7 linked regions of the Mus musculus genome follow. The protein of the gene in region 4 purifies or fractionates together with the protein of the main gene of each other region. This does not show direct contact. Links are inferred from orthologs where the notes say so. Each region holds a gene or a part of one and is shown on either strand. Other genes may lie near its edges.

The links.
Region 1: the proteins of Prpf8 (region 4) and Sf3a2 purify together in Homo sapiens (affinity purification with mass spectrometry; 3 studies listed by BioGRID and IntAct, with this or other methods). This does not show direct contact. The link is inferred for Mus musculus from reciprocal best matches to the Homo sapiens genes PRPF8 and SF3A2.
Region 2: the proteins of Prpf8 (region 4) and Rnps1 purify together in Homo sapiens (affinity purification with mass spectrometry; 3 studies listed by BioGRID and IntAct, with this or other methods). This does not show direct contact. The link is inferred for Mus musculus from reciprocal best matches to the Homo sapiens genes PRPF8 and RNPS1.
Region 3: the proteins of Prpf8 (region 4) and Smu1 purify together in Homo sapiens (affinity purification with mass spectrometry; 3 studies listed by BioGRID, with this or other methods). This does not show direct contact. The link is inferred for Mus musculus from reciprocal best matches to the Homo sapiens genes PRPF8 and SMU1.
Region 5: the proteins of Prpf8 (region 4) and Dhx15 fractionate together in Homo sapiens (co-fractionation; 3 studies listed by BioGRID, with this or other methods). This does not show direct contact. The link is inferred for Mus musculus from reciprocal best matches to the Homo sapiens genes PRPF8 and DHX15.
Region 6: the proteins of Prpf8 (region 4) and Crnkl1 fractionate together in Homo sapiens (co-fractionation; 3 studies listed by BioGRID, with this or other methods). This does not show direct contact. The link is inferred for Mus musculus from reciprocal best matches to the Homo sapiens genes PRPF8 and CRNKL1.
Region 7: the proteins of Prpf8 (region 4) and Hsf1 purify together in Homo sapiens (affinity purification with mass spectrometry; 3 studies listed by BioGRID). This does not show direct contact. The link is inferred for Mus musculus from reciprocal best matches to the Homo sapiens genes PRPF8 and HSF1.

What each region holds. Positions count from the first base shown.
Region 1 is NC_000076.6:80,797,319-80,801,534, reverse strand, and holds the start of Sf3a2 (splicing factor 3A subunit 2), read right to left. Parts: upstream 2,801-4,216; 5' UTR 2,730-2,800; intron 340-2,729; 5' UTR 303-339; coding exon 177-302; intron 80-176; coding exon 8-79; intron 1-7. Other genes in the region: Plekhj1 (pleckstrin homology domain-containing family J member 1), read left to right, coding at 3,361-3,454, 3,558-3,625, 3,696-3,762. UniProt on the Homo sapiens protein: Component of the 17S U2 SnRNP complex of the spliceosome, a large ribonucleoprotein complex that removes introns from transcribed pre-mRNAs.
Region 2 is NC_000083.6:24,413,436-24,417,474, forward strand, and holds the start of Rnps1 (RNA-binding protein with serine-rich domain 1), read left to right. Parts: upstream 1-1,239; 5' UTR 1,240-1,297; coding exon of another isoform or gene 1,298-1,299; intron 1,300-1,605; 5' UTR 1,606-1,727; exon of another isoform or gene 1,728-2,070; intron 2,071-4,039. UniProt on the Homo sapiens protein: Part of pre- and post-splicing multiprotein mRNP complexes. Auxiliary component of the splicing-dependent multiprotein exon junction complex (EJC) deposited at splice junction on mRNAs.
Region 3 is NC_000070.6:40,755,086-40,759,016, forward strand, and holds the start of Smu1 (WD40 repeat-containing protein SMU1), read right to left. Parts: upstream 2,801-3,931; 5' UTR 2,718-2,800; coding exon 2,692-2,717; intron 753-2,691; coding exon 542-752; intron 1-541. UniProt on the Homo sapiens protein: Involved in pre-mRNA splicing as a component of the spliceosome. Regulates alternative splicing of the HSPG2 pre-mRNA. Required for normal accumulation of IK.
Region 4 is NC_000077.6:75,485,400-75,489,576, reverse strand, and holds the start of Prpf8 (pre-mRNA-processing-splicing factor 8), read right to left. Parts: upstream 2,801-4,177; 5' UTR 2,486-2,800; coding exon 2,386-2,485; intron 1,953-2,385; coding exon 1,784-1,952; intron 1-1,783. UniProt on the Homo sapiens protein: Plays a role in pre-mRNA splicing as core component of precatalytic, catalytic and postcatalytic spliceosomal complexes, both of the predominant U2-type spliceosome and the minor U12-type spliceosome.
Region 5 is NC_000071.6:52,187,747-52,191,676, reverse strand, and holds the start of Dhx15 (pre-mRNA-splicing factor ATP-dependent RNA helicase DHX15), read left to right. Parts: upstream 1-1,130; 5' UTR 1,131-1,326; coding exon 1,327-1,397; intron 1,398-3,930.
Region 6 is NC_000068.7:145,928,201-145,931,700, forward strand, and holds part of Crnkl1 (crooked neck-like protein 1), read right to left. Parts: intron 3,229-3,500; coding exon 3,070-3,228; intron 2,501-3,069; coding exon 2,334-2,500; intron 100-2,333; coding exon 1-99. UniProt on the Homo sapiens protein: Involved in pre-mRNA splicing process. As a component of the minor spliceosome, involved in the splicing of U12-type introns in pre-mRNAs.
Region 7 is NC_000081.6:76,494,362-76,497,861, reverse strand, and holds part of Hsf1 (heat shock factor protein 1), read right to left. Parts: intron 1,893-3,500; coding exon 1,784-1,892; intron 1,410-1,783; coding exon 1,273-1,409; intron 1,027-1,272; coding exon 902-1,026; intron 244-901; coding exon 168-243; intron 95-167; coding exon 33-94; exon of another isoform or gene 1-32. UniProt on the Homo sapiens protein: Functions as a stress-inducible and DNA-binding transcription factor that plays a central role in the transcriptional activation of the heat shock response (HSR), leading to the expression of a large class of molecular chaperones, heat shock proteins (HSPs), that protect cells from cellular insult damage.

The sequences.
Region 1 (4,216 bases), on a different chromosome or scaffold from region 4:
CAGATACCTCATTGTTATGCAGAGTCAGGCAGAGTTTGCACTCATAGGATCCCAAGTGGTTCTTCATAAAATACGGGTCCTGGGAGTGAATAAATGTACCGTTAGACTGCATGAACCAAGGACTGAGGCATGTGAGAGCTCTGTGGATGTGGGAACTGGCACCCCCTCCCCCCGACCTTGTTGATGTCAATGGTTTCCAGGGCCAATTGGCGCAGACGCTCTCTCCGATCCCGGTTGCTCTCAGAGGAGGAGGCTACGCCCCCACTCCCAGTCTTGCCTCCAGGTCTGTGCTGAAAGTCCATGATGCAGGCCTGGGTGCTTCAGGGGACAGGAAGAAACCTGGGGGAGTAAGGACAGCTAAGGCTCAGAACACTGTACATGATGCTAGGACGAGGTAGCCCAGCAGGCAGGTCATTCCCTTCGCTGAACTCCTGATCCTCCTAAGAGCTGTGACCACAGTTGAGCCACCTCTCCCCGGTGTTGTTGTTAATTTTTCTCATTATTATTATTATTATTAAGAGAGGATTCTCTATGTAGTCATGGTTACTCTCTACATAGATCAGGCTGGCCTGTGTGCCTGCCTTTGCAGGCATTAAAGGACACGCCCTCCTCCACCTGACACATGGCATATGGAGTGCTTGGTACCAAGGGTCCCATCTTTGAGGCTCAACCAAAGCCTATAGGCAGTGTCATCTGATGACAGAACACTTTAGACTACTCAGTGTCAGCCCCAGCCCTTGGTTTAAACCTATAGGTAAATTCAGAGACAGTACTCAGGAAACAAGTGGAGGCAGTCCTTGTTAATATTGCTGGAGCCTCCTGCAAATTTGACTTAAGAACCTTGAGGGCCAGGTACCTAGTTACCTCAGTGTCACCACAGAGTGTGTCTGGGACAGACAGGACACTGATACCACTGGCTGTCAAAGAGAAAGAGGCTAGAATGCAAAGGATACAAGATGCTCTAGATGCCGAGAGAATGGCTGAAAGATGTATATGGAAGTGGTGGGGCAGAACCAGCTTGTCGGATGTTTCATACTCAGCCACTTAAGGACTGAAAAGAGCATTGTCTACATCTTTGAAAGCTACTAAGAGACACATTCCCAGAGATGAAGTTGGCCAGATGCAAGAGCAGAGTCTAAGGGTGGCAGCATGGGCTTCTCAGAGCAAGAGGGCACCCGCAACAGCAGGATGGAAAACCACTTCAACCGCTGGCAAAGACAACTTTCAAGAACATAGGACTCTATACCTGGCCTCTGCAGGGAGCCTGGGTATCCAGCCACAGATGTGAGGGTGCACCTCAAGGGTGGAACACTTGTCCATCATGCATAAGGTCCCCTAGGGGTACATGTTTGAGGTTGAATGTGTATGGGTACCCACTGCAAAAATGCAGTTAGTTCATGAGCTTTGGAGGGAAAACAAACACTAGGACAAAACTGGCCTGGGCAGGCTGGAGAAGTGGCTCAGCGGTTAAGAGCACTGACTGCTCCTCCAGAGGTCCTGAGTTCAAATCCCAGCAATGATGTGGTGGTTCACAAACATCTGTAATGGAACCCGATGCCCTCTTCTGGTGTGTATCTAAAGACAGCTACAGTGTACTCATTATAAATAAATAAATCTTAGAAAAGCAAAACAAAACTGGGGCCTGGGTGAGCACACTGCTTGCTCTGTGGATGGGGCACCAAGCTCTGCAAACGCCCACCAACAGTTCCCAACCCCAGGAAACACAGAAAACGTAGGGCGTGGTGGTGTACACTTCTCATCCCATTTCTTTATCCAAGGTAGGAAGATGGTTAGGTTAGTGTTAGAGACCAAACCGGGCTGTGCAGTGAGATCCTATCTCAGATAAAAGAAAAAAGGGTGGCGGTAGGCTCCAGGGACTCTGATATCCCTTTCTGGACCCTATGGGTACCCCACTCACACACAAAGCTCCACACAGACACATTAAAACAAAATCTTTAAAAACGCGGGGAAGGGCATTTATCTGCTTGCTGACTACTGCTGCAACACGACCACCACGGCAGACCGCACCTTCATACCATCAGCCAAAATAAACCCTCGATTCCTTAAAACCAATCAAAACAGCCAAGTGTGGTGGCTCATGCTGTAAGTCCCACTATGCGAGAGAAGGCAGAGGCATGGCAATGTCTGTGAACTGGAAATCGGCCAAGTTTCCACACCGAGTTGCAGGTCAGCCCCAGTTAAGCAGTGAGACCCTGTCTGAAATAAATGAAAAGTTGTGCCGATGACTGGAGGGGCTCACACGTGAAACTTGGGACAGGAGGCCAGGACGCAGGGACGGGAGATGCGCAACCTCACGGACTACCGTAAGATTACCGATGAACGATCAATAAGGACAGAGACGTGGTATATGTTAAGGTAATGGTCTGGGAGGAGGCCTGGTCCCAGGACAAATCCCTTTTATGTGCAGATACCGTTATCTTTCAATCCCAGCAAGGGACCTGCTCCGGTGGACAGGAGCAGTGGTCGCCAGGGCCCCGATTAACGAAGGTGGAAACGGAAACAACCAAGGAGGTCAAAATACACGCCGAGACGCCACTCGGACACCCCGAACCACCCTGGAGGCCACAGAAGCGCCACCCAAGCCAGCAATCACGCGGCGACCCAACGGGCCTCGCGAGAGCGCGCTCTCCCGGCGGGCGCGCGCCGATCCTGAGGCAAGAGGGCGGCCGCTGCCTCTCCCCGTCCCGCCCCCGGGCTTTCGCTCCCACCTTCAAGCCTCCCCGACGGAGCAGCCGCCACCGACAAACTGTGCAGCTCCTCACCAACGCTAAGGCCTCGCTATCCGGGTTTAATCTCCGCCAAGGCCGCGGTTTCGCCGCGCGCGTGCGCACGACCGACGAAGCGATCCCTTCCGGGAGCAAAGGCGTCGGCGTTTCGTGTGTGCGCAGGCCCAGCGGATGGACTTCCGTCTTCGGTAGGCGGGAGAGAAAGGAGCGTCGGGGCGCAGAGTGCGCGTGCTCACTGCAGCGACCGCACAGTTTCGCTCCGCCCTAAGTCTAGCGGCGCCGGCTATCGTGACAAGAGGAAAGCGTTAGGGTTCACCGGCCCAGGAAGGCGCTTCGCTCATCGTGGAGTGCTCTGAGTCTAACTTACACCTCACGCTTAGTATGTCTGGCGGTTATTTAAGGACGGGCCATCTCCTTCCCGTCTGACTCTGTTCAACCGCGCAGACCCATAAATTAGGGCCGCGCAACCAGCCCAACAACGCGCAGGCGCAGTAACCGGGTTGGGACTTCCGAGATCGCTCTCTGAGACTTTTGTGGCGCTGGCTGCGGCTTCGGGGAGGACGGCGGCCGAGAGGCAGGGCGCGTGTTGGTTCGCGCGGATCCGTGCGGCGGGATGCGGTACAACGAGAAAGAGTTGCAGGCGCTGTCCCGACAGCCGGCAGAGATGGCGGCCGAGCTGGGCATGCGGGGCCCCAAGAAGGGCAGCGGTGAGCCAGTCGGGGCTGCGGCTGGGGCACTTGGGCGGGCCGGCGCGGTTCCTGGGTGGGCGAATGAGAACAGTTCCGCGCTGACACCGCCCTGTGCCTACAGTGGCCAAGCGGCGACTGGTGAAGCTGGTGGTCAACTTCCTCTTTTACTTCCGCCCGGACGAGGCCGAGGTAGGGGCGTGGGGGGCGCGGGGGACCCGCGCGGCCCGGAGGCCGGCGCTCATGGCCGTGTCTCGCGCAGCCCCTCGGAGCCCTGTTGCTGGAGCGCTGCAGAGTGGCCCAGGAAGAACCGGGCGGCTTCTCCATCAGTAAGTTTCCATCCCGGACTCTGCTCCGCACACCCGATCCTTTTTACTCCCTTAGGAGCCTACGTTTGTCCTGGATCCCGCGTCCGCTGGTGGCCCAGGACTGGCCCAGCTATCACTCAGAGTGCCCACTGGGTCTGGTTCTCGCTTAGTTTCTTCTCCGACCCCTCTGCCCGTTCCCAACTGAGAGAGGTGCAGTCTGCGAACGTGGGGTGTATAGCAGGAACAGTCTCTGCCGCCCTCTCTGCCACGGGTAGGGTACGGGCAGGCTTTAAGGCCTGTCTCAGCCTTCTTCCCTAACGAGAACTTTACAGTATCTTGTAGAGATTTGGGCATCATGTCTACCTATATTATCCAGTGGGGTTCTTTATCTGTACCCCTCTTTTCTCCTTCTTGCACGAGTGCACACGTGTTTTGGGGTGTGAGTATGCCAGTAAGGCCAGAGGGAAACTTGAGT
Region 2 (4,039 bases), on a different chromosome or scaffold from region 4:
TCTTAAATCCAACAAGGGTACCAGACCAAACTGTCTAGATCTGCTAACCCCACCCCAAAAAATGAATACCTCAGGAAAGCAGACTTCAGAAGCAGGCTCCTCTTCCTGACTGTCCCACAGGACACACCCAGCTCCTTGGACCGAGATAATCTCTTCTCTCCATCTCTCCGGGATCACCAAAGTGCACATTGGCCACTTTCCTATCTTTCACAGCAATATGTAATCCAAATCTAAGTCACCTTTGTACCTTCCTCCTGAAGCTCACCTTAGCTCTGTTCCTCTTTCTTCGTTCCTGCCTCAAATCTACTTAGATAACCGCGGGGATTGTGTGCATATCCCTTTCTTCCGCAAATAACGGAGCAAGAATGTGCTAGGCAAACCGGGCGGTGGCGCTCGTCTTTAATCCCAGCAGTTGGGAGGCAGAGGCAGGCAGATTTCTGAGTTCTAGGCCAGCCTAGCCTGGTCTACAGAGTGAGTTCCAGGACAGCCAGGGCTACAAAACAAACAAACAAACAAACAAAAGAATGTGTTGGCAAAGTCGGGAGGCGGGGCACTACGGCGGGTGCTACTCTTTAGCCTCGTGCAGAGACCAGATCCTCTATGTCCTTGCTAAGAAGTTACTGACGTAACCCCGGTATAGACTAGCGTGCCTCTTCTTCTCCCAGCGATCCTGAACGCCTTTGCTGTTCCTTCTGCCCCACGCATTCTTGTCAGAAATGTCTCCTGGGAGAAACCTCCTTCAACATTTCCTCAAACTTTTTTCCTTTCTGGCCTCATCGGCCGCCCGCTACACCCAGTCAGCTGTATCCCACCAGCACAGAGACCATATCTATGCAATCACCACTAACTACCAGAGACTTGACCATAGGAACTCACCGTCCGTACCAGCCTGTCCCTTTACTACAATAACGCGGCCTCAGCAGGGTGCCTTAGATCCTAATGACAGCAGAGGCAACCCGAGTAGCTCCATCCACACAGATCCGGTAGGCGCCAAAGAGCACAAACCTCTGGTGCCGGTCAGCCAATCATCGCGCGCTTCAGAATGAGCAAAACAAGTCCAGGAAACTTTAGACCAGTCGGGGAGGGGGGGCGGGGGGGGGGACCGTAGGCGCTACGACGCTCCGCCCACACACAGTTGCTGTCCTTTAGTCCTCCACCGCTAACTTGCATTGGCTGAGTGTGCTTACGTCATCGTCGCGCGACGACGGCTGCGCCTTCCCGCTTCTCACCTCTGACGACAAAGTTGCGCCGGCGTCCTGGTCTGAGAAGAGCGGGAGGAGGTGGCGGCCTTGGGAAGATGTAAGTCGGGGTAGGAATCCGGCTGCATCCGACCTCCGGGGACCTTCTGCCAGGCTTGGCGGGGCGCATCGTGGAGCCGGTTGCGTTCCTCAGTGCGGCAGAGGCCCGCCGGCGAGGAACAGAGCCCGAGGAGAGAGTGTGGTTCAGGTCGGGCGGAGTGGGAGGTGTCGAGGCCGCGGCCCGGAAGTGGTCGAGGCGGTCACCGACGGAAGGGTGATCCCGCACGGTTCGCTCGGCGGCGACCCGCTTTAGCCTGCAGGACTCCAGCAGCTGCGAGCCCTGCCGCTTCTCTTGTTTTCTTGTCAGGCTGGAGACCTAGGCTCGCCACACCGGGCCCGACCTGAGTAGTGAGTGGAGAAAGAGGGTGGGAGGCGAGGTCGATGTCTGTGGCCGGAGCGGACGGTGCAGATTGCGAGCCGGCCTAAAAGGTTGGTTTCCTTTAAAGATCTCTTTCCACGAGTGTCTGTCGGAATCCAGTGTGCAGTTCTCAGTTCTGGGCATTGAGGATCCGTCCTAGGATGGACCGAGCACGGTTACGGAGCTCAGCGGGAGAGGATATGGGAAGGTTATGGTTGATGGTAGAGACGTGGTGGAGGCTTGCTTTCTCTACCTTGTGTTACTTCGTAGGCACTGTGTCTCCGATGTGCTTTTATATGTAGAGAGTGCTTTCAGATTGCCAAGACGCCCTCTGCTCGAGATTTAACCATTTGTTTTCTCCTCTCTCTGACTGTTGGACGCACACCTTTCCGGAGGATGGGAGAGGTGACCAAGGTCCTGAGCTGTTACCTGAGCTTGAGTGAACAGAGACCCTCACCTTTGCTTTCTAGCACTCGACCACACCCAGCAAAGAGTTCGCTTACGCCGCAGTTCATAATTTGTAGACTGCTTAACAATGGGTTCTGCCTGTTTCATAAAGTACATTCCAGCAGGTCGGGGTGCGGGTGCACAAGGGTGATCTCTACCCTTTGTCACTGGTATGAAGCACTTGAATAGTAACCCAAACCCCAAAAGTACATACCAGATTTAAATGACTTAGTATAGAAAACCCACAAGAAATTTAGTAATTTTATGTTGATTATATGTTACAAAGGTAATGTTCATTTTGTTAAAAACTAGTTTTGGGACCCACACACTGCCTTTAATCCCAGCACTCAGATGGCAAGTCAGAGTTTGAGGCTAGCTTGATCAACCTAGGCTAGCCAGGGCTGCCTAGTGAGACCATGTTTCAATAGGGGGGAAAAAGCCTTTAATTTTGGACTGTCAGTACTTGTGAATGGTAGAGGTCTTGTTGAGTATACTGGGCTCAGTGTTACTTCGTGTAGCCTTGCCTGTCCTGGAAGTAGACCAGGACAGACCTTTGAACTCGAGAGCCTCATTTCCCAGTTCTTGTTTCTAAAAAAAATAAGAAAGGTTTCACTAACTTTTGTGACTTGGCTGAAAGGAGATTAAAGGGTGTGCTCATGGTTCACACTCATGGACAGTGCTGCTTTTAGTGATCTCATCCAAAAGTCAGCTGAGCTGTAACACAGTTAACTAAGCAGCCAGAAATCAAACTTACCACTGAGCTTTTAGCTGGGTGCCTTGCCAGATTGATAGATTGATTTAGCCAAGCAAGGTTTAGGGAGCTAATTGTCAGGATTACTTAACTTGGTAGTATGCTTTTGCCTGTTGTGCACAAAGCCCTGGTTTCAGTCTCCAGCTCCATATCGAAAGCCTATAATCCCAGGCGGAGGCAGGAGATTCAAGTCATCCTACATAGAACATTTGAAGCCAGCCTGGGCTAGAGACCTTGTCTTTAATAGAATAAGCCTTTGGTTCCTGTACTCAGGAGACAGGAAGGATGAGTCCCAGCAAGGTGTCATGGTACACAGCTTTAATCCCAGCACTTGGGAAACAAAAGTGGGGGAATCTCTGTGACAGCCAGAGCTACAGGATAGCAAAAAAAAAAAAAAAAATTAAGAATGAGTGCCACAGCTGGACAGTGGTGGCACAGGCCTTTAATCCCAGCACTTGAGAGGCAGAGGCAGGTGGATTTCTTGAAGCCAGCCTGGTCTACAGAGTGGGTTCCAGGACAGCCAGGACTGCCCAGAGAAACCCTGTCTCGAGAAAAAAAAAAAAAAAGACTTGAAGCCTGAAACACAGGCTTGCTTGCTTGCTTACTCCAGACCATGGAAGATAGCTGAAAAGATATAGTCCTGGAAAGAAGCTAGATAGGTAATCATTTGCCATTTCTATTTGTCAAAGTAGTGGAAGGGAACTGTTCTCATGAGCTAGACTTATTCAGCAGCATTTAGAAGGGCCCTGTTTCTGAAAAGATGTATTCTCGCCTTACACTTGAGGAAGGTGAGGAAGAAGAGTTAGGATGTATCCTGAGGCCTTTTTTTGTATTTTGCTCCAAGAGAAGTCCCAGGGAGAATTAGCTGTCTTTAGTTGAGTACTTACTGTTACGTGGCATTATTGCTAAACCCTTAACACTGCCTATAAGATCTCAACCCATTCAGAGGTTTCAACAGTTGTGCCTACCTGACTGCTGACTAGATCTACCAAGTCACATTTTCCCCTTATTTGTTTATGGTTTACCTACCTGACAGTCTTACTTTTTTTCTTGCCTTTTTCTTTTTTTTCTTTTTTTTTCCTCCCAGGCAGGGTTTCTTTATGTCGCTTTGGCTGTCCTGGAATAGCTCTGAATCAGCCTGCCTCTGCCTCCCCTGTGCTGTGGTTGAAGGCTTGCACCGCCGCT
Region 3 (3,931 bases), on a different chromosome or scaffold from region 4:
ATCTATGTCAGACTTAGTGGTGTGTGTTAATTCCTGGTGGTCAGTGCCTGAACTGAATCACATGATATGATTTAATATTAGAATATTTTTTTCTCTCTCTCTTTTCTCTCTCTCTCTGTCTTTCTTTCTCTCTCCCTCCCTCCTTCCTTCCCTCCCTCCCTCCCTCCCTCCCTCCCTCCCTCCCTCCTTCCTTCCTTCCTTCCTTCCTTCCTTTCATACAAAGTCTACTCCTGGCTGGCCTGGAAAGCATTATGTATACCACCTGGCCTCAAGGCCATGCTCAGCTTTAAACTATTTCATTTAATGACTACCTAAAAGTAATCTCAGTTTCCCTGGGTCTGATCTTCAAAACCATACCAAGAAATAATTTCAGTTTGGGAAAAATCTTGAATCTTCCAAAAGGGAAGAAAGAAAGAAAGACCCTGCTGTGTCTTGACAGGTACATCTTACATGCAGTTAATCCCTAAGTGCTTAAGAGAGACTCACTGATGCTTCCCAATTAAGGGCCCGACCAAAACCGTCAACATCACCTCACTCTTACCTGTTCATAGAGATCAATAAGGGTTTTGTCTGGCAATTTCAGAGACTGTATAGCCTGTAAAACAGTATCCCAATGGCCACTATTAATATCAGCCACGAAACTTTCAATGCTGTCCACAGTATTCAGAGAGACAGTAGTTTCCTCCTGTAAGGTGGCCAGTGCCCGATGTAAACTGTTCTCCTTCAAGTACTGCATGATTAGTCGGATCACACTGAAAGAAAGAAAGAAAGTCATTTAGTCTGGAGATTGAAAGGAAGTTGGTAGCCATTATTATTCTGATCACTAGATCTACTGGACATTTGTGTGAAATACTTTAAACCTGAAATAGTTAATGACATTTTCCTTTTTAAATCAACTGGCCAGGCAGTAGTGGCACACTTCCTTAATCTCAGCATTCAGAAAGCAGAGGCAGGTGGATCTCTGAGGCCAGTCTGGTCTACAGAGTGAGTTCCAAGACAGCAAGGACGACACAGAGAAACCCTGCCTCAAAAAAACAAAATTAACAAATTGAGTCATCTAAAATGCTATAAAAAAATCTGGTCTGTTAAAAAATTGAGTTCTAGCATTCTGGAGGCAGAGAAAGAAAGGAAGGTGAATCTCTCTGAGTTTGAGGCCAGCCTGGTCTACAGAGTGAGTTCCAGGACAGCCAGGACCCTGTCTTAAAACAATAACAACAACAATAATAATAACAATAATAATATGAACATGCAGTTATTCCTCATATAGAAGGGTATTCAAGACTCAAAGATTGGTCGTTAAGGCTATTATTAGACCTCAGGGTAAAATATCCTTTGCAGTTCCTGTCCCGACTAACATTATCCAACACGTTTTGTCGCTGTTTTATTTTTCTACACAGGGACCATCTGTTACTGCGTCATATTTTATTTACTGTTTTTGTCTACTGTCTGCCTCCCGCAATCAAAGCATATATTCATTTAAAGACGATTTATAAAGCTGGGGGTTGGCACACGTCTTTAATTCCAGCACTCCGGAGGCAGAGGCAGGTGAATCTGAGTCTGAGACTCACCTGGTCTACAGAGTGAGTTCCAGGACAGCTACGGCTTCACAGAAAACCTTGTCTCAGAAGCAAAACCCAGGAAAAAAACGACTTACATATAACTGAGTTAAAAATATGTATCTCACCGGGCGTGGTGGTGCACGCCTTTAATCCCAGCACTTGGGAGGCAGAGGCAGGCAGATTTCTGAGTTCGAGGCCAGCCTGGTCTACAAAGTGAGTTCCAGGACAGCCAGAGCTATACAGAGAAACCCTGTCTCGGAAAAAAAAAAAAAAAAAAATATATATATATATATATATATATATATATATATATATATATATATCGCTATGAAGAGGCTCAGGCTGGACTCCAGGCCTTCCTACTTGCCCATTTAATACTGCGATCATAGACGTGCATACTTCACATCCAGCTTCAGTCTTAAAAATACATAGCAGGTTTCAGACTCCGCCGACTTAATTAATAAACCTTGCTTTTCTGCAGATCTTCAGAACATGCGTATCTCTCCCCTCCACTCAGAACACAGCTGTTTGCTAATTTCATAATTTAATTTTACTTTTCAAAAAATAAAAGGCGGTGGGTGGAGTCCTGGGGAGTCCAAGCAAGACTCTTCAGTCACTCACTCCCCGCCCACCTGGCTCCTCGTCGCCGTCCCCGCCTTCACTAAGTCTCATTCTTCTGACTCAATCAATATTCAAATTCTGTGTCCACAAAGAGGTTCTCTCTCTCTGCAAATTGCAAACCAAATCAATACACCACACTGGATCTAATCAGATAGGAGAAGCAGCAGAGTCTTTGGGGTAACTAGTGCTTGGACCAGAAGGAAGAGCTGAGGGACTGGCGGACACCCGGGCAGCGCCGAGGGCGGTGTGGCTAGCAGAGGAAACCACAGTAGTCAGGTCTACTCGGTGTGCCCCAGCACAGCCCGACGCCGGGGCCCAGGGGCTCCAGACGGCCCGCCCCACGGCTGCTCTCTCGCGGGCCCATCTAAAGAGGGAGCCAACCCGGAAAGTGCTTCGAGGCCGCAACCTCCGGCGCGCAGCTCCCCCTCCAACGTCCTCCGACCACCCTCCACTCCACCCCACGCCACGCCGCGAACACGCCACGCCGCGAACACGCCACGGCAGGACTCACTCGGAAGACTCGATTTCGATCGACATAGCGGTAACGCTCCGGGTCCAGGCCCCACTCAGCACACAGCCGGTCGCACAACGCCGCGCGACACTTCCGGCGGCCGCGCTGCGACACTTCCGCTCCGTTAGGGTCTAAAGGGCGAAGGAAGAACACGCCCAGGTGGGCGGGGCGTGAGGGGCGGGGCCTCGCGAAAGCGTGGCAGGACTACGAATGCCCATCGGTTTCGCGAACGTACACACAGGTGGAGTCTTTCTACAGCCTTGGCTGTCCCGCCCTCCTCTGCCTCCCTAATGCTAGGATTAAAAGTGTGCGCTATCGCGCTCAGATCCAGCTAAGAATTAAGTTGGAAAAAGCTGCGGTTACGGAGAAAGAAATGTAACCAAATGCGAAGTTATAACAGATCTGAGACTCCTTTCAATATAGAGTTTAAATCATACCTTACTGGTATGGCATGACAGAGCTGAGGACATAGCTCAGTGATCAGAGTGTTTACCTAGCAAGTCAGACGCCCTGGTTCAATCCCCACTAATAAAAAACCATACATAAATATTGATGAATTTTATAAATAAAGGCTAGGGAAAAGGTGGGATGGACATGCAGCTTATAGCTGGCTTCAAACTAATTATATAGTTGAAGATGCCCCTACTTTCCAAGGGCTAGAATTACAGATGGCATCACAGTGCTTATCTCCAATAAGAGCTATTTTAAAATTCTATTGACAAAGTACATATATATGTATACACTTATATATATATACATATTCATACATATACATATACATATATATACACACACACAACACAGTGGCATGTCTATCTTGTGAAATTACATATTGAGATAGTTTAGGGATTTCTAATGGCTCTTGTCTACCTTCCACACAATTTCTTTACAGTCTCCTTTTTTCCCCCCAGTGCTAGGTATCAAAACCAGAGCCTTTCAATATAGCCGCTCATATGCTGTTTATGTTTTCATTTTTACTTGATTTTTGTTTGTTTGTTTTGTTGTATTGTGTTTGGTTTTTGACACAGGATTTCTCTTTGTAGCCCTGACTGTCCTGGAACTTGTTCTGTAAGCCAGGCTGGCCTTGCTGCCTGCCTCTATTCCTGAGTGCTGGGACTAAAGGAGGGAAATTTTTAAAAAGAGTCGTTTGAAACTAAGTAGAGAAAATGACATATGCTACTGTTACAATGAATGGGATCTTCTAAGGTGCTTGGATTAAAGAGGTGTATCACCATGCCCA
Region 4 (4,177 bases):
CACCTTCATCTAATACCACTCTCCCTTTCAAATGTCTTGGTGCGGGACCCAGTCTGTAGAAACTAACACCCGTCCCTTTGAAAGCAACTTCCTTCTACCCTTCCTGTAAATTCCAATACCTTCCCTGTTCTATGTGGTAACCATTTGTCTCTCATCCATCATACCACTAAACTTATACTCCTAAAAAAAAAAAAAAAAAAAAAAAAAAAGGACCAATACGGTCTATTCACTGAAGACCAAAAGCAAGTTTCAATAATAACAGTAATAATGTTTATTGTTGTTTGTTTGAGACAGGGTCCCACCGTATAGCCCTGGCTGGCCTGAAACTCACTGTATAGAACAGAAGTCTCACCTATCTCTGTCTCCCATGCACAGAGACTAAATGCCTGTGCCACCACACGTGGCTTTGCTGTTTTTGATGGAGCATCTCACCAGGTAGTTCAAACTGGCCTCAAGCCCATGATTCTCCTGCCTCTGCAGCTAAGGGCAGAGATTACATGCAAACACTACCACGGCTGCTTAAGTTATTTTTGTTGTTGATGTTTTATTTTTTAGGACAGAGTTTCTCTGTCCAGCCTTATCAGTTATAGAACTCACTCTGTAAACCAGGCCATCCTCAAACTCAAAGTAATCAGACTCCCAAGTGCTGGGGTTACAGGCGTATGCTATTACCTTGCCCGGCAAGAAGTTGTTGTTATTGTTATTTCTTTTTTTTTTTTTTTTGCCGTCGTACTTTTATTCACATCATGTATTGTTATTTCTATTAATGGTTTTTTCAAGACAGAGTTTCTCTATATAGCTCTGGCTGTCTTGGAACTCACTCGGTAGACCAGGCTGGCCTTGAACTCTGAAATCAGCCTGCTTCTGCCTCTCGAGTGCTGGGATTCAAGGCGTGCACCACCACTGCCTGGCTAAGAAATTATTTTTTGGCTAAGAAATTATTTTTTGCAATAAAACTCTCAAGGTGGGGCTAGAAAGATGGCTCAGCAGTTAAGAGCACTGATTGCTCTTCCAAAGGTCCTGAGTTCAATTCCCAGCACCCACATGGTGGCTTACAACCATTTGTGATGGGATCTGATGCCCTCTTCTGGTGTGTCTGAAGACATCTACAGTACACTCATATAAATGAATTAAATAAATCTTTAAAAAGGAAAAAAAACAAAAACAAAACAAAACAAAAAAACTTCCAAGGCTTCCCCCACATCAATTAATTAACAGGCCAAATTTTTGTATCCAAATGGAATGTTAAGAATCTCTGCAGCTTGAGGTGGAAGAATTAACAGTAAAAGAGCGACCCCAGGAATGAACTATCCTAAACCTCTGAATGATAGTGACCAAAGAGGCATCCAGAATGCCTAGTGTCTTAATTTGAGCTTCAAACAGTTCCACAATACCAGACATTTTACAACAACACCAGCAGGGCAAAGCAAAACAATCAATGGCATAGGTAGACGATCTGGAAACTATCACAGAATCCCAGTGGTCCTAGCCTTACTCCTACAGTCATCCTATGTACAGCCTAGAGCCATGTTCCATGCTGGACACGGTGACATCTGCCTTCAATCCCAGCTCTTTGGAGGCAGAGGCATGGGGATCCCTATCGGTTAAAGGGCAGCCCGGTCTACAGAGCTAAATCCAGGGCAAAAATGCCCACACAGGGAAACTGTCTCAGTTAAAAAGTCACATTCCAAATGCTAGTCCCTCTATCCAGCACTGTCAATGAAGGGGCAGAGGAAGGAAAGAAGTCAAACTCCATATGATATTATCCTGGGATGTTACTCACCCCAAATAGACCCTTTTGTCATGACGGAACTTCCTGTTGGTCATGTCTCCATGGTCTCGAATGATCTTCCTGACATGTTCTGGTGGCATGTCTTCCTTCTGAGCATCCACAAACCCAAATTTCCGCTTCTCTGCATATCGCTTGGCCTGCAACTGCTGCCATTTTCGAGCTAGAAAAGCACCTCAGCTTAAAGGGCTGCACACATTTACCCTAATTATCCCTAACTCTTGCCCTGGGGCAACCCTCGGCATGCTGTGAAGAGAAATACTCACTGCCAAGTATCCTGCCATTTTACTACCCCAAACCACCTGATATTTTTGCTATAGATGTTTTGGGGAGGGTTGTTGTCTAATTCCTACATAGTAATGCAAACCCTATAAGGAAACAGGTTTTATCGTCATTGATGCATTTTACACACACACACGTACACAATAAGCTCCTGCAAAATAACAGGCACTTCCAAACTTTCAATGATTGGACTCAATTTTTAAAAATGTAAATACTGCTAATAAGCACACCCCTGATGACCTGCCTATGGAGGGAAGAAATGAAACCCGCCTACACGTTCGAGCCCGCGCACGCCGTTCCCGTTCGCCTCTCACCTTTCTCCTGCAGCTTCTCCTCTGACATATAATCCGGCAGCGGGGCTAGAGGGCCGGGCACCGGGTTACCCGGCCCTCGGTAAGGAAACACTCCGGCCATGCCGGGAGAATCTGGGATAGAGAGGCAGGCCAAAACTAATGAGCTAGGCCCGGGCCCACAAGGGGCAGATGGAACACGTCCGGAGCCCCCTGGCCTGCACTCTAGCCGGGCTGAGCGCTCGGGACCCGGGCCTGGCGCAGCTCCTCGGGCCGCTCGGCCCACTCGATTACCTTGCGCTCAGCCTCAGACGCCCACCACCCACCTGTCGCCCCTCACTCAGGTAGCGGCTAGGCTCGCAGAGCAATGGCGGAAAGACGACGTCCGCTCCGCGTTCCCAACTCCAGGAAGTGCGCAACCAGGCTCAGAAGCTCATCCAATAGACGCCGAGATGCTCTGATGGATTAGCGACATCTCCAATTGACGTTGCAGCCCGAGCCGGAGAGGCGGGTCTAAAAGCGGATTTCAGGGCGAGGGGTGTGGTCAGGGTAGGCTCACGCCCCGCCTTCTGCCAGTCAGTTTAGGAGCCCTCTCTAATAGATCTGACATTTAATTGGCTATTGATATTGTTCCTCAAAAGCCAAAGCCATACAATTTTAATAAGTTTGCGTACGTTGCACATTTCCCCTATATTTATTCTCATGAATTCAGAGCTGATATGTAGTACTAACTCCTACTCAATGAATCCTTTGTTCTTCTATTCCTTCATTACATTACTGTTAATAGTGGTAACTATGTACCAAAGAGTCAAATAACTCTTGGACCATCCAAGGCAGAAGGAAGGCTGGCAAAAATGTATGATGATCTGGGATGGGAATGTACTTCAGTTTGTACAGGAGGCCCTTGGTTCATTCCATTTCTGGCAATGCATAGACCTGTAGGATCTCAGCACTGGTGGGGGGTGGGGGGTGGGGGTGGAGGGGCGGGAGGTTAAAGGCAGAATAGTCATAAATTCAAAGTCTGGTCCTGGAAAGAGGACTAAACGATTAAGAGCTTTAGCTGTTCTTCTAGAGAACCTGGTGTGATCCCCAGCACATGGTGCCTCACGACTGTCCGAAACTCTGATTCTAGGGGGATCTGAAAACCCTCTTCTGCCCTCTGTAGATACAGAACACACATGGTGCACATACATACATGCAACCCAAACAACCCATATACATAAAATATTTTTTTTTCAAAAAGACATTCAAATTCTTCCTCGGCTATATAGTGTTTACCAAACCTCAAAAACAAAACAAAACAAAACAAAACAAAGAATCATTAATGTTTTGCCTTCATGTATGTCTGCCCACCACGGACATGCCTGGTACCCAGGGAGATTAAAAGAAGACATTAGCTCCCCTGGAATGGAGATAGGTATGATCTACCACTTGGGTGCTGGGAACCTGGGTCCCCTGCAAAAGCAGTAAATCTTTTTAACCCCTAAGCTGTCTCTCCCAACGCCTAAAGATTCTTGTAACACAGCATGATGAGCACTGGCAAGCATAGCATGGTAATCTGACTTCAGGGCGCCAGATTTTGAGCTTAATGCTTGATTATTAGAAGTAACGTACTAGATTTAATGCCTGGAGCTTCAAGCAACAAAATTAACTGAAGAATAAAAATAAAAACCCTGCCAGCCATGATGGTAATCCCAGAACTTGAGAGGCAGAGGCAGGTGATCTCTGTGTTTTCAAGGCCAGCCAAATCTACATAGCAAGTTCCAGTACAGCACAGCCAAGGATCTAGAGAGAGACTGTATCAAAACAAATAATC
Region 5 (3,930 bases), on a different chromosome or scaffold from region 4:
TATCATCTGTTGTGTTTCTGTTGTATTTAATCTTAGAGATTATCCTTCTGAGAATTTTCGAGGGACTAGAGCCAAGGAGCAGCAAAGGAGAGTCTTGACATGAAGTGATACCCTGTATTTGGGCTGATCCTTAGACCTCTTTCGCCCACACTTCTGGAAATGAATGTAATTGAGTATGCACAATGGCTGAAGGGAGAAAGATACACAACCTCTTAAGTGTCACCTTGCCTCAACAACTTGCCATTACAGTGGAGTCTTAATGGATGAGCTATTTGTTGATTTCCTTCAGTCCAGGTAACCATGTCTATAAAATGTCTTTCAGGGTTCACTCTACTAAGGAGCACAGCAACTAGGCATGCTGGGGCACGCCTTTAGTCCCAGCACTGGGAGGCAGAGACAGCCTAACCTCTGAATTCCAGGCTAGCCTCTTCTACAGAGCTTGTTTGTGGACAGCCAGAGCCACACAGAGAAACCCTGTCTCAAAAAACCAAACCAAACCAAACCAAACGAGGACAGAGATAGGGCTAATGTCTCTGAGTGCCTAATATGCACTCATATACACACAAACGGAGCAAGATTAGGGCAGAGGATTGGAGGCAAAATACAGTGCCCAGTGCGATTACCTCCAATTTTCTGAACCCTATACAAAACACCTATACCTTGAACAAATAGATGTTATCTGTTCTGGGGTGAATGGACAAAACGAGTCACAGTAATTAAAGTTAACATTTTTTCTCACCGCTACAGGGCATCTGGCGCAACAACTGCAAATTCTCGTTCTGGAGTTATAAATTGTGTCCTGCTTTGCCACTTGCCAGCTGTGTGATCTTGTTTTTCTTATCCTTCCTGAGCTTCATACCCTAAAAGCAAAAAGTATATACACAGCTGGATAGATTTCCTAAACAGGACTAGGCTTTTTCAACTTTCCCAACGAACTCCAGGCGGCAAGTGACAGCTTGAGGCGCGTTTCGGTCCTTAGCAGCAGCTCAGATCAGCTCTCAGAGAGACGCGAGGGGAAAGGGAGGAGCCCGCGGGAACTCAGAGCCATTTCAGCCAATCGCACAGCGGGCGGGACGGGAGTTCCCGCCTCCGGACGGCGTGCGCGCGCACCACGCCGGCACGCCCGCCGCGGAGGCGCGCACGCAGGCCCTGCCCTCGTCGCGGCCGCCATTTTAGCTCCTGGTTCGGGCCGCACGGAGCGGGCTGTGGTGGCGGGAGGGGTGGGGGTCCCCGCGAGTTGAGCCGCGGGCCTCTTGTGCGTGGATCCGGCTGCCGGAGTCTCTCTTCTTCCCTCCTTCCTAAGCGTCCGCTTCTGGGAGTGCGAGGATGTCCAAGAGGCATCGGTTGGACCTGGGGGAGGATTACCCCTCCGGCAAGAAGCGTGCGGGGACCGATGGGTAAGCCAGGCCGGGGCGCGCAGTCGCGGCTCGGGCTTTGTTGGATGGTGGCGGGGAGCAGGCCCGGCTGCCGAGCCTTTGTCTGCCGTCGGCCGGCTGGGGCGCGTGCCGAGTGTGTGCGGCCGGGGCGAGCGGCCTGTGGCGGCCACGAGGCCGCGGAACGGCGGGCGTGCGGAGCGGGCCGCGAGGCCTCGGTGCTCGCGTGAGGCCCGCAGCCGGAACCGGATGGCCAAGGGCACTGCCCCCGTGGGCGGCGGCGGGCGCTGTCTGTTTTGGGGGAGGATAGAGGCGAGCCGACCTCGGGGCGCACTGTTTGGCGGGAGACGAAGGGCCTTCTTCCATTGAGGCACTTCAGGAGAGGCCGTTGCCAACTTCCGCCCTCTGCCTGCCCTCCCGCCATCTCCTTTATTTCCTGCTTTGCTTAAAAGCCGGCTTTGCTTTTAAGTAGCATCACTGGGGTAGGCCTGTGAAAACACGTATTTCCCCCTCCGCTCTGGAAGTTATTTCTATCTCCTCCCCACTTTGGACGCACTTTTCAAAAAAGTGATCTTAAGCGTGTTTGAACAAACAACACCCACGTGCAGATTGAGAAAGGCTTACACCGATTCCTGGTCTGGCATTTTAGTTCCTTTTCTTAGACTTTTCGCAAAGACAGGGCATTTAGCAAGTAAGCAGTTGTATTATCATTTTCCAGTCTTTTCTTTCACAGTTCATACTTAAAATGTACTTTTGTTTATATTCCTACCCTCCCATTTTAATTAGTTGTATGTTTATGCTTCGGCAGTACAGGGATCTGTTGGGTTAATTAAAAAATATATCCACGGAAGTCCAAATGTCCAAAACAGTTGTAGGATTTTATCATTTTCTTATGTCTTGTGACACCGACTCGCTGTCAAGTCAGATGTGTGGTCTCTTGAGTTTTTGTTAACGGAAAGTCCTTTGGGATTGATTTCTAACTACCAGTGTGAGAATAGGTCAGGATAGGATGCGTTCTGTCGCTCTCCTTAGGTTGAAATATTGAATACGGAAAGCAGGTTTGTTATGTTTTGATTGTGTAGGTTTTTTTTTTTAAAGCTTATAACACTAAGCATTGTAATAATAAAACATCCCAAGACAGCTGTTCTCTCAAGCAAACATTCCAAATGTTAGTAATTGAGCTCCATCAGTTCTTAGGTAGAAACAGCTCATGAATATTCTCCAAGGGAGAGCAAAGTTGCAGTGAGCTTTTTCCATAGATTATAGTGGTATGTAGAATTCTCCTTTTCTCAACAGGAAACTTAGTACTGTAGTTAGGCATCACAACCTGTCATAAATGGCATTTATATTGGATTGATAAAGTGGGGAACTTCTGTGAAGTTAAAGTTAATGTCACATTTGGCTAAGATGCAACTAATTTCTCTCCTTATAGAGGTCACATTGGGATGAACACTGAGTTTGTGCAAGCAGAGTTTTTTTGTGTGTATGTTCACGACTCAATGCTTTTATTGCAATTGGGGCTCCACATTACAGTGATTATGGTCATTTCTCTTGCAAAACATACAACATTGGCAAAATGGACTTTGCGTATATCGCGGGTAGCTTCATGTTTCCTCTGAATATTTCATATTTGTCACTAAGTACAGGAGAGTCCTTGATTTCTAGAGATTCTGCAAGGCAGTTTTTGCAGTTTCCTAAGTTTTTTGAGTACCTTTTCTTATAGAACTGGTTTTCTTTAGCAATACAGTATTTGTGCTTGGTATTTTTTTTTTTTTCCTTACTTGATTTGAAGGCACTTTTGACTGCCAGGGACTCTTTGCTTCCCTCCCTCCCCCTCTTTGCTCTTGTTTAGTGTATTTGACAGCATAGGCTTGTTCATTTTGTCACCCCAGCTGTCACCAGACCTTGCTGTCTCCATTCCAGCACGTGTGGGTGGGGGTGGGGGTGGAGGGGCGGCCAGGAGAAGAAACCACGGAGTCAGTTACCTCCTCTTGACCATGATGGCCTCAGGGGTCAACCCAGTTTTTCAGTCTGAGCCATCTCACCAGCTCCCAAGAAATCTGGGAAGGACATTTTTATCCTAATGGTTCTTAATATTCCTGATAAGAATTTGTAATTATGTGTTTCACTACAATCCCGTGGTAGCTGAAATTAAATAATAAGATGATAAGATGCAAAGGGCAAGAAATTTTCACACATAAATGTATAAAGAAAAAAGCAGTAAGCTACTACAAATCATTATTTCCATCTTTGGAGTCCATACTTATTCCTAAATACAAAATGTAATATCAGTGAGCTCTTGGGATTTGGGTCCCATTGGCTGTGTAGTACAGTAGTTGTCTCTTGTCTTGCTCATTGGTGTTAAGTGCTTTCCTCGAATTTTCTGTAGATGAAAGTATGAGTATCCTTATGTATGCACGTTAATGCACATGCTTAGAAGTTCCCAAAGTGAGACTGTCAGAAAAAAAGTAGTTTATATAAAATATCTAGAGTAGATGACTAGTTTCCATACTTACTAGCAGTATATTAGTGCCTATTATTATTCCAAGTACAATTT
Region 6 (3,500 bases), on a different chromosome or scaffold from region 4:
CTCTCTCGTAGACTTTCCGCGCATGAGCAAAGTAAGCATGCTTCTCTTCAAATCTTGCGTACTTGATCCAGTTTTTCACAGCAGGGTGCACGAGCACAAGTACGGGCAGGGAGTGAAGGAAAGAGCAGGCAGGACAACGCGGCTAAGCCAGTAACAGGCTGAGGCTGGCCCAGTGGCAGTGCGCATGCACAGCACATGCCAAAGGTTCAACACCCACACAACAGACCCCCACTCTTACTAACCTCCCAAACTCCAACAATTCCAAATACAAGTGGGGATGAGCACACACAAAGGAGGCTAGCAACTAACCTATAGCCTGAGAGGTCACCTTACTCTTTTGACCTCCCTTCAACGCTGACTCGGTATTGTAGCAGTGGGACAGTCTGAAGCCAAAGAAAACCTCAACCCAGTTACAAACCATGTGATCTTCAACAAAAATGTCTGTCTCAGTTTTTTTCATGTGTGGAAAGGGAAAAATACTATCAACTTCACCCATCATTGCTTAATGAAATGAGGAAATGTTTATAAAGCTTAGCACTTTCTGGCCAAAAGAACATGGCCAATAAAAAGCACCTATTCCATTAAATGCTCATTACAACAGTCTACTCACAACGAAAGAACAAACTGCCACAAAAAGAGAGCTGCTATCTAAAGCTAAAGACAAATCTTCAATTGCCATTTATTACCAGAGCACATCAGCCTTCCCTGAAGAAGCCAAATCATTTCCACAGGGAAAATACACTCAAGGGGAGCAAGGATGTTAAGACCATCAGCTCTGAGGTTCATTTCCTGGGTCAAATACCCCTAGTGCCACCACCTGAGACCCTCATCAAGTTGCTTAATCAGTTTCCGCACTTGCTGAATGGGGTAGTTCCTGCACTTCAGGGTTTTCCCAAGCACTGACAGTAGTAAGAGCTCAGGGTCCCATCAGCTACAAACCCAGTGTTCCTCAAGCCTCTGCTAAGCCACTATGGAATGAGTAGAGACAACTGAAGATCTTAATGTTGCACAGCAAGGTTCTCACTGCTTACAGCAGCTCTGGAAAGCCAGTAAGAACTCTCAGCCACTGAATGCCAAGCCACTGATCCTAGGAGGAATATGCGTGCACACATCTCCCACAGACCAGTGTTAAATTCTAAAGCCAGCACATCCTATTTTCTTGTGTGTGTGTGTGTGTGTGTGTGTGTGTGTGTGTGTGTGTGTGTGTGTGTGTACGCACAAGCACATATGGGTGCAAGAGGCCAGAGGCTGACATCAGGTATCTTATTCAGTTGCTCCCCACCTCATTATTTGATATGGGGCCTCTCACTGAGCCTGGAGCTTACTTATTCAACTAGACTGACTAGCCTAAAGGCCTTGGAATCCTCCTGTCTCCACCTCCCCAGTGTTGGAATTACAGATATATGCTGGGTGCAGCTTTGTAAATGCGTGCTACAGATCCAAACACGGGCCTGTTGTGCACCAAGTACTTCGGCAACTAAGTCATCTACTCATGTGTTTGTGGCTCAGAGCACCAAGCAACTAGCTTTAGGCTGTCCCTCTCTCTGCAGGTGTCAGAACCTTGATCCACTGGTTTCAGAGAGGGAGAGCACTCCTTGTGGACACAGTGGGTTGCTCCTGACTTCACACTCAGGCATCACTATATACTGCTGAAGTAGACTTCAGCCATTGCTCTATACATGTCTGCAAATGACTGCTAAAGCATAGCAATTATTGAGAACTCGAAATAAATTTCAGTAAGTGTGGCAATTTGCAAATAAGGCGCCTCTGGGTGATGAGCTTCACAGATCCGTTTCTAACAGTGTTTTCACAAACACCATCTTCCACTTGTTAACATTGGTCTGTTTTCTATAGTGCTGAAGCCTAAACTCAGGGTCTCAAAATATGTTAGGCACATGCTCTATACATGAGTATATACCTAGACTTCACCATGTTTAGTTTTTAATTTTTCTTGTATAGAAAAGACACAAAGGCTCAAGGAACTAGATGACTCTGGAGTCATTTATTAGCTGGAGTCGCAGCTAGTAAGCAGTCAACTCTGATGAGCTCCATTAGCAGTGCCAATGAGCAATGCAGACCTCTGGTTCTAGCAGCTAGGACTTTGTGCAAACCCAAAAACGAACCCACAATATCTCTGAAAAGACTCAAATGACCCAGTCTACACATTTTTATTTGACCAGTTTCTAACCCTACAGAAAATTGTCAAAGGGACGAAACTTGCCTTCCTAGTTTCCAATGTCACATTAGTAGCTACATGTCTTTACTGTGACATCTTTTTGGGAGGTAGATACCCATGACAGCCATGTACCACTAATACCTTATTCAAAGGATATAGCGTTCATAGATGGTGCGGGCCCGCTCCACCTCTTTGTATCTCAGCTCGAAGTTGATGTAGGAATGCCAGGCCTGCTCCTCAGGCTGCCATTCCATCCAGCGCTCAAACACCTGGCGGGCACCAGCAACGTTGCCCAACATCTCCTCCATGTATGTGTACTTATACCTGACAAAATCATCCAAAGACGCCTGCTGTGGTCAAAATGACTCAGGAGGAAAAGTAACGCTTTGACACTTCTAACATTTTGTTAAATGAAAGATTTTAAGGTTTTTTTTTTCTGTTTTGTTTTCTTTGTTTTTCCAAGACAGGGTTTCTCTATGTAGCTTTGGCTATCCTGGAACCAGGTGGGCCTCTGCCACCTAAGTCTTGAGACTAAAGGTGTGTGCCACCACTGCCTGGTTGATTTTAAGTTTTATCTTTCCAAGATGTTTAAGCAAATGTTTTCTTATTAAAATATAAACCTGAAAAAGAATTATCCATAGGGGAGGAAGGCTTCATTAAGAAGTTTCTTATGAATAAAAAATTGTACTAAACATTTAAGTTTGATTACATAGCCATGGGACATTAGAATTATGATTCATAGATTATGTGACATTAAAAATCAGTATATATATTTTAAAAAAATAGAATATAATAATCAACACATACAACTATTATAATTGCAATAAACCTAATACCCAATCAAGTGGTATTTGCTAGTTCACAAAGACTGCTTTGTGCAATGAGCAGCTTACCAGAACTGGTTGACGCGTGGCAGAGTTGTGATGGCACGGTCCCAGATGTTTCGGGCATGGTTGACCTGGCGGTTCTTCATCTCCATTTCTGCATATTTCAGCCAGAGGGTAATATTTCGGTAGTCGACATCTAAAGCACGCTCGTATATGGATCGAGCCCTTAACAAATAAGATATGGAGAGCATCAAAGGCAGCAACCGTGAGATATGCAGCAGCCACCTCACAGTAGCTGCAATGTCCTCCTGTGTTGTTAGGCATCTATCTATCATGGGCCACCTTCTGGTCATAAAAAGAGGAAAAGCAATGATGTTCTCAAGTTATCGTACAGTCTTTAGAGACAGCATGCAATTATTTCATAAGGTCATGAGCAGTATAGTCAAGGTCTAGACAGGAAACACAGTGAGAAACAGCAATGTTTGGTGAAACAGGCT
Region 7 (3,500 bases), on a different chromosome or scaffold from region 4:
AGTGGACAGTGTAGACATTCCCAGAGCCTCACATCTTTCTCTTCACCCCCAGGATCCGGTTCGACTGCACCAGTGAGATCAGGAACTGAATGAGCTGTGGGGCAGAAAGGATACTGTCACCCTGGCCCAGTCATGGAGGGGACCCACCTACCACCAGCCCTGCCCACCTTGTTGACAACTTTTTGCTGCTGGGCATGCTTCTGCCGAAGGCTGGCCACCTCCCGCCACAGGGCCTCGTTCTCGCTGCAACACATTGCTGGGTCAATTGGGCCACATTAGAAGAGCCAGAGAATCAGGCTGTTGATGGACAGGGCTGGACCAGATGAGGGCTCACTGCACAACTGATTCCCTAACTCCACTCTACTTACAGGGCAGGATTCAAACGTCAGCCAGGGCTGAGGGAGGGCATGGATAGAATCTGATGGTACCTTAGGATCCTAGCTGCAATGGGGCACTTGTTACATACTGGCTAGGCACACAGGACAGGTCTCTGGGAAAGATCCTAAACTACAGATTACCCTCAGTTTTGGGGTAGAAGGCAGCTGTGAACTGTGCTGAGTGAGTGATAAAGGGCGAGTTGAGTCATTGTGACTAGAGAACAGTAGAGAGGTCTGGCCCAAGGACTGTTGTGGTCAGCTCCTGTCAGGCCTGGTTTTTAGGGAGGCACCTGGAAATGGGCTTTGTGTGCTCAAATCCTGAAAATGTGAATTCCAGCAGGGGAGTGAGAAGTGGGTGCAGTAGGAGACCTCCAACCCCACTCTGTGTCTGGAGATGTACAAGACAGGGTTTCCATAGAAACAATGAAGGCAGGCTGGGAGGGGGAAGGAGGCTTGAATGGCTCTGCAGGATCGGGTAGGAGACCCAAAGCAACCTGGCCACCCTCCTGAGCCTTGGGACCTACTGCTTCATGGCCAGGAGCTTGGAGTCCATACACTCCTGTTTCCCCTTCATCAGCTGCACATCTGTCAACAGCCGGGTGACACTGTCCTGGCGTATTTTTATGTCCTCACTCTTCAGGGTGGACACCTAAGGGGTGGGGCATACAAGAGTCGAAAGTGGCTCTGGAGTGTGGTAGGCTCCTGTGCTTCACCTAGGCATCCAGGGAATGAGGAGGGCCTGGGAAACACTGGGAAGGGGGAGGGGGTCAGAGACAGAGAGCACAGGCTATGCTTTTAGGCTAGTCCTGCAGCACCACCTAGATACTGCTCCCAGCCCATAGCCTGCAGGAATATTTAGGGCAGGGAGGGGCTGTACTCAGGGCTGGTGACTCACGCTGGTCACTTTCCTCTTGATGTTCTCAAGGAGCTGTTCCTGTCCACGCAAGAAACAAGGATGCTGGAACTCGGTGTCATCTCTCTCAGGCTTGACCAGGCCACCCTGCTCAATGTGGACTACTTTTCGGAAGCCATCTGTGTATATGGGGGTGGGGGAAGTTCTGTTTGAGGGCCAGGGACCAGACCTTCAACAGCCTAGCCATGGCCTAGGGCAGGCAAGGGGCCTCCTAGAAAACTGTACGAGAGTCTGACTGGTGTCCATTTACCATACATAGCAAGTTATTCTTGGTTGGAAAAGACTTTGTCCCCGAACAGCTTCCCTTTTTGTAAATGGAAGTGTGGCCATTAGGTTAGGGCCTCATATCCTACACTCTTCCCTGGAGAATTCAGGCTCAAACTCATGAGGACCCTTCTTCAGCCAACCCAGGCCTCCATCTCTTAGAAATAGGCTGGGGTCTATTTCTCCACACCCAGTGAAGCAAGCATAGCATCCTGAAAGAGGTACTTACACATGTTGAGCTGCCGCACGAAGCTAGCCATGTTGTTGTGCTTGAAGTACTTGGGCAGCACCTCCTTGGCAAACTGGCCCTGGTCAAACACGTGGAAGCTGTTCCCACTCTGTCAGGAGACACATGGGCAGGTCATATATAGCAGACACCATCATAGTTTCACTGTGGCCTGATGTCTCTCTCTCCATGTGTGGTGGATTTGCACACTCTCCCTCCATAGTAGTAGCAGGAGGTGAGTGTAGCTGTAGGACTCTATGGCTGGTATCCGGGCCATGGAACCTAGGTCTGAGCAGTGAGGCCCATGTAACCAGAGACAGGATCTTAACTTCCTGACAGTTTTTAGTTGCTAGGTTTAGACTCATAAATCACCCACAGCATTCTGGTCATCTCTAGGGACTGACTAGAATTTAGTTTTAATCAGCAATTTTTCTTTTTTTTTATTTCTTTTATTTAGCAACTTTTTTTTAATTAGGTATTTTCTTCATTTACATTTCAAATGCTATCCTAAAAGTCCCCCATACCCTCCCCCACCCCCCTACCACTCACTCCCACTTCTTGGCCCTGGTGTTCCCCTGTACTGAGGCATATAAAGTTTGCACGACCAATGGGCTTCTCTTTCCACTGATGGCCGACTAGGCCATCTTCTGATTCATATGCAGCTAGAGACACGAGGGGGGGGGGTACTGGTTAGTTCATAACGTTGTTCCACCTATAGGATTGCAGATCCCTTCAGCTCCTTGGGTACTTTCTCTAGCTCCTCCACTGGGGGCCCTGTGTTCCATCCAATAGCTGACTGTGAGCATCCACTTCTGTGTTTGCCAGGCCCCGGCATAGCCTCACAAGAGACAGCTATATCAAGGTCCTTTCAGCAAAATCTTGCTGGCGTGTGCAATGGTGTCAGCATTTGGAGGCTGATTATGGGATGGATCCCTGGGTGTGTCAGTCTGTAGATGGTCCATCCTTTCGTCTCAGCTCCAGCAATTTTTTCTTTAAGAATAGCTGGAGACATAGTTCCAAGTGCTTACTATTCTTATAGAGAACCTGGGTTTGTTTCCCAGCACTCATATGTCAACCCACAACTGCTAGTAATTCCAAGTTTTACGTGACCTGATGTCCTTTTTTGTCCTTCATGGCCTCTGGCATACATGTGGCACTCACATATATGCTCAAGGACACACACACACACAGCTCCAAATTGTGGCAGTCAAAACAGGAATGAAGTTGTTGATGCTCTGGAAGACAGTCCTGATCAGAAATACCACCTTATTCTTTTTCAAACTCAGATGAAAACTGTTAAATACTGGGGCCGTGCTTCTGTGCTGGTGCTTTCCTGAGCACAGTCAGAACCACTAGGAGGGGCTGAAGGGCCATGGCAACTCAGAGGCCTTTGATACTGGAGTGGGGAGGTCCTACAGTGGGTAGGGACAGTATTCTCGTGGGTGTGCAAGACCAATCAGCTGAGGAACCAGTCTCTTTGCTGGGGTGGGAGAACTATAATACAGACAGAATCAACCAAAAGGATCCTAAGGTATTGGATTAGCACCATGGCTTTTTTCAACACGCAGAGCAGTGAAACAGGCTTAAACAGAAACAGTGGAGCAAGTGGACACAGGAGGAAGAGGATCCTAAGTAGCAGGGAAAGTGCAGGTAGGAAGTGTGGTATCAGTGAGAGAAAGAGGCTCTGCTCTTTACACTAATTGTTTAGTCCCCATTCTTC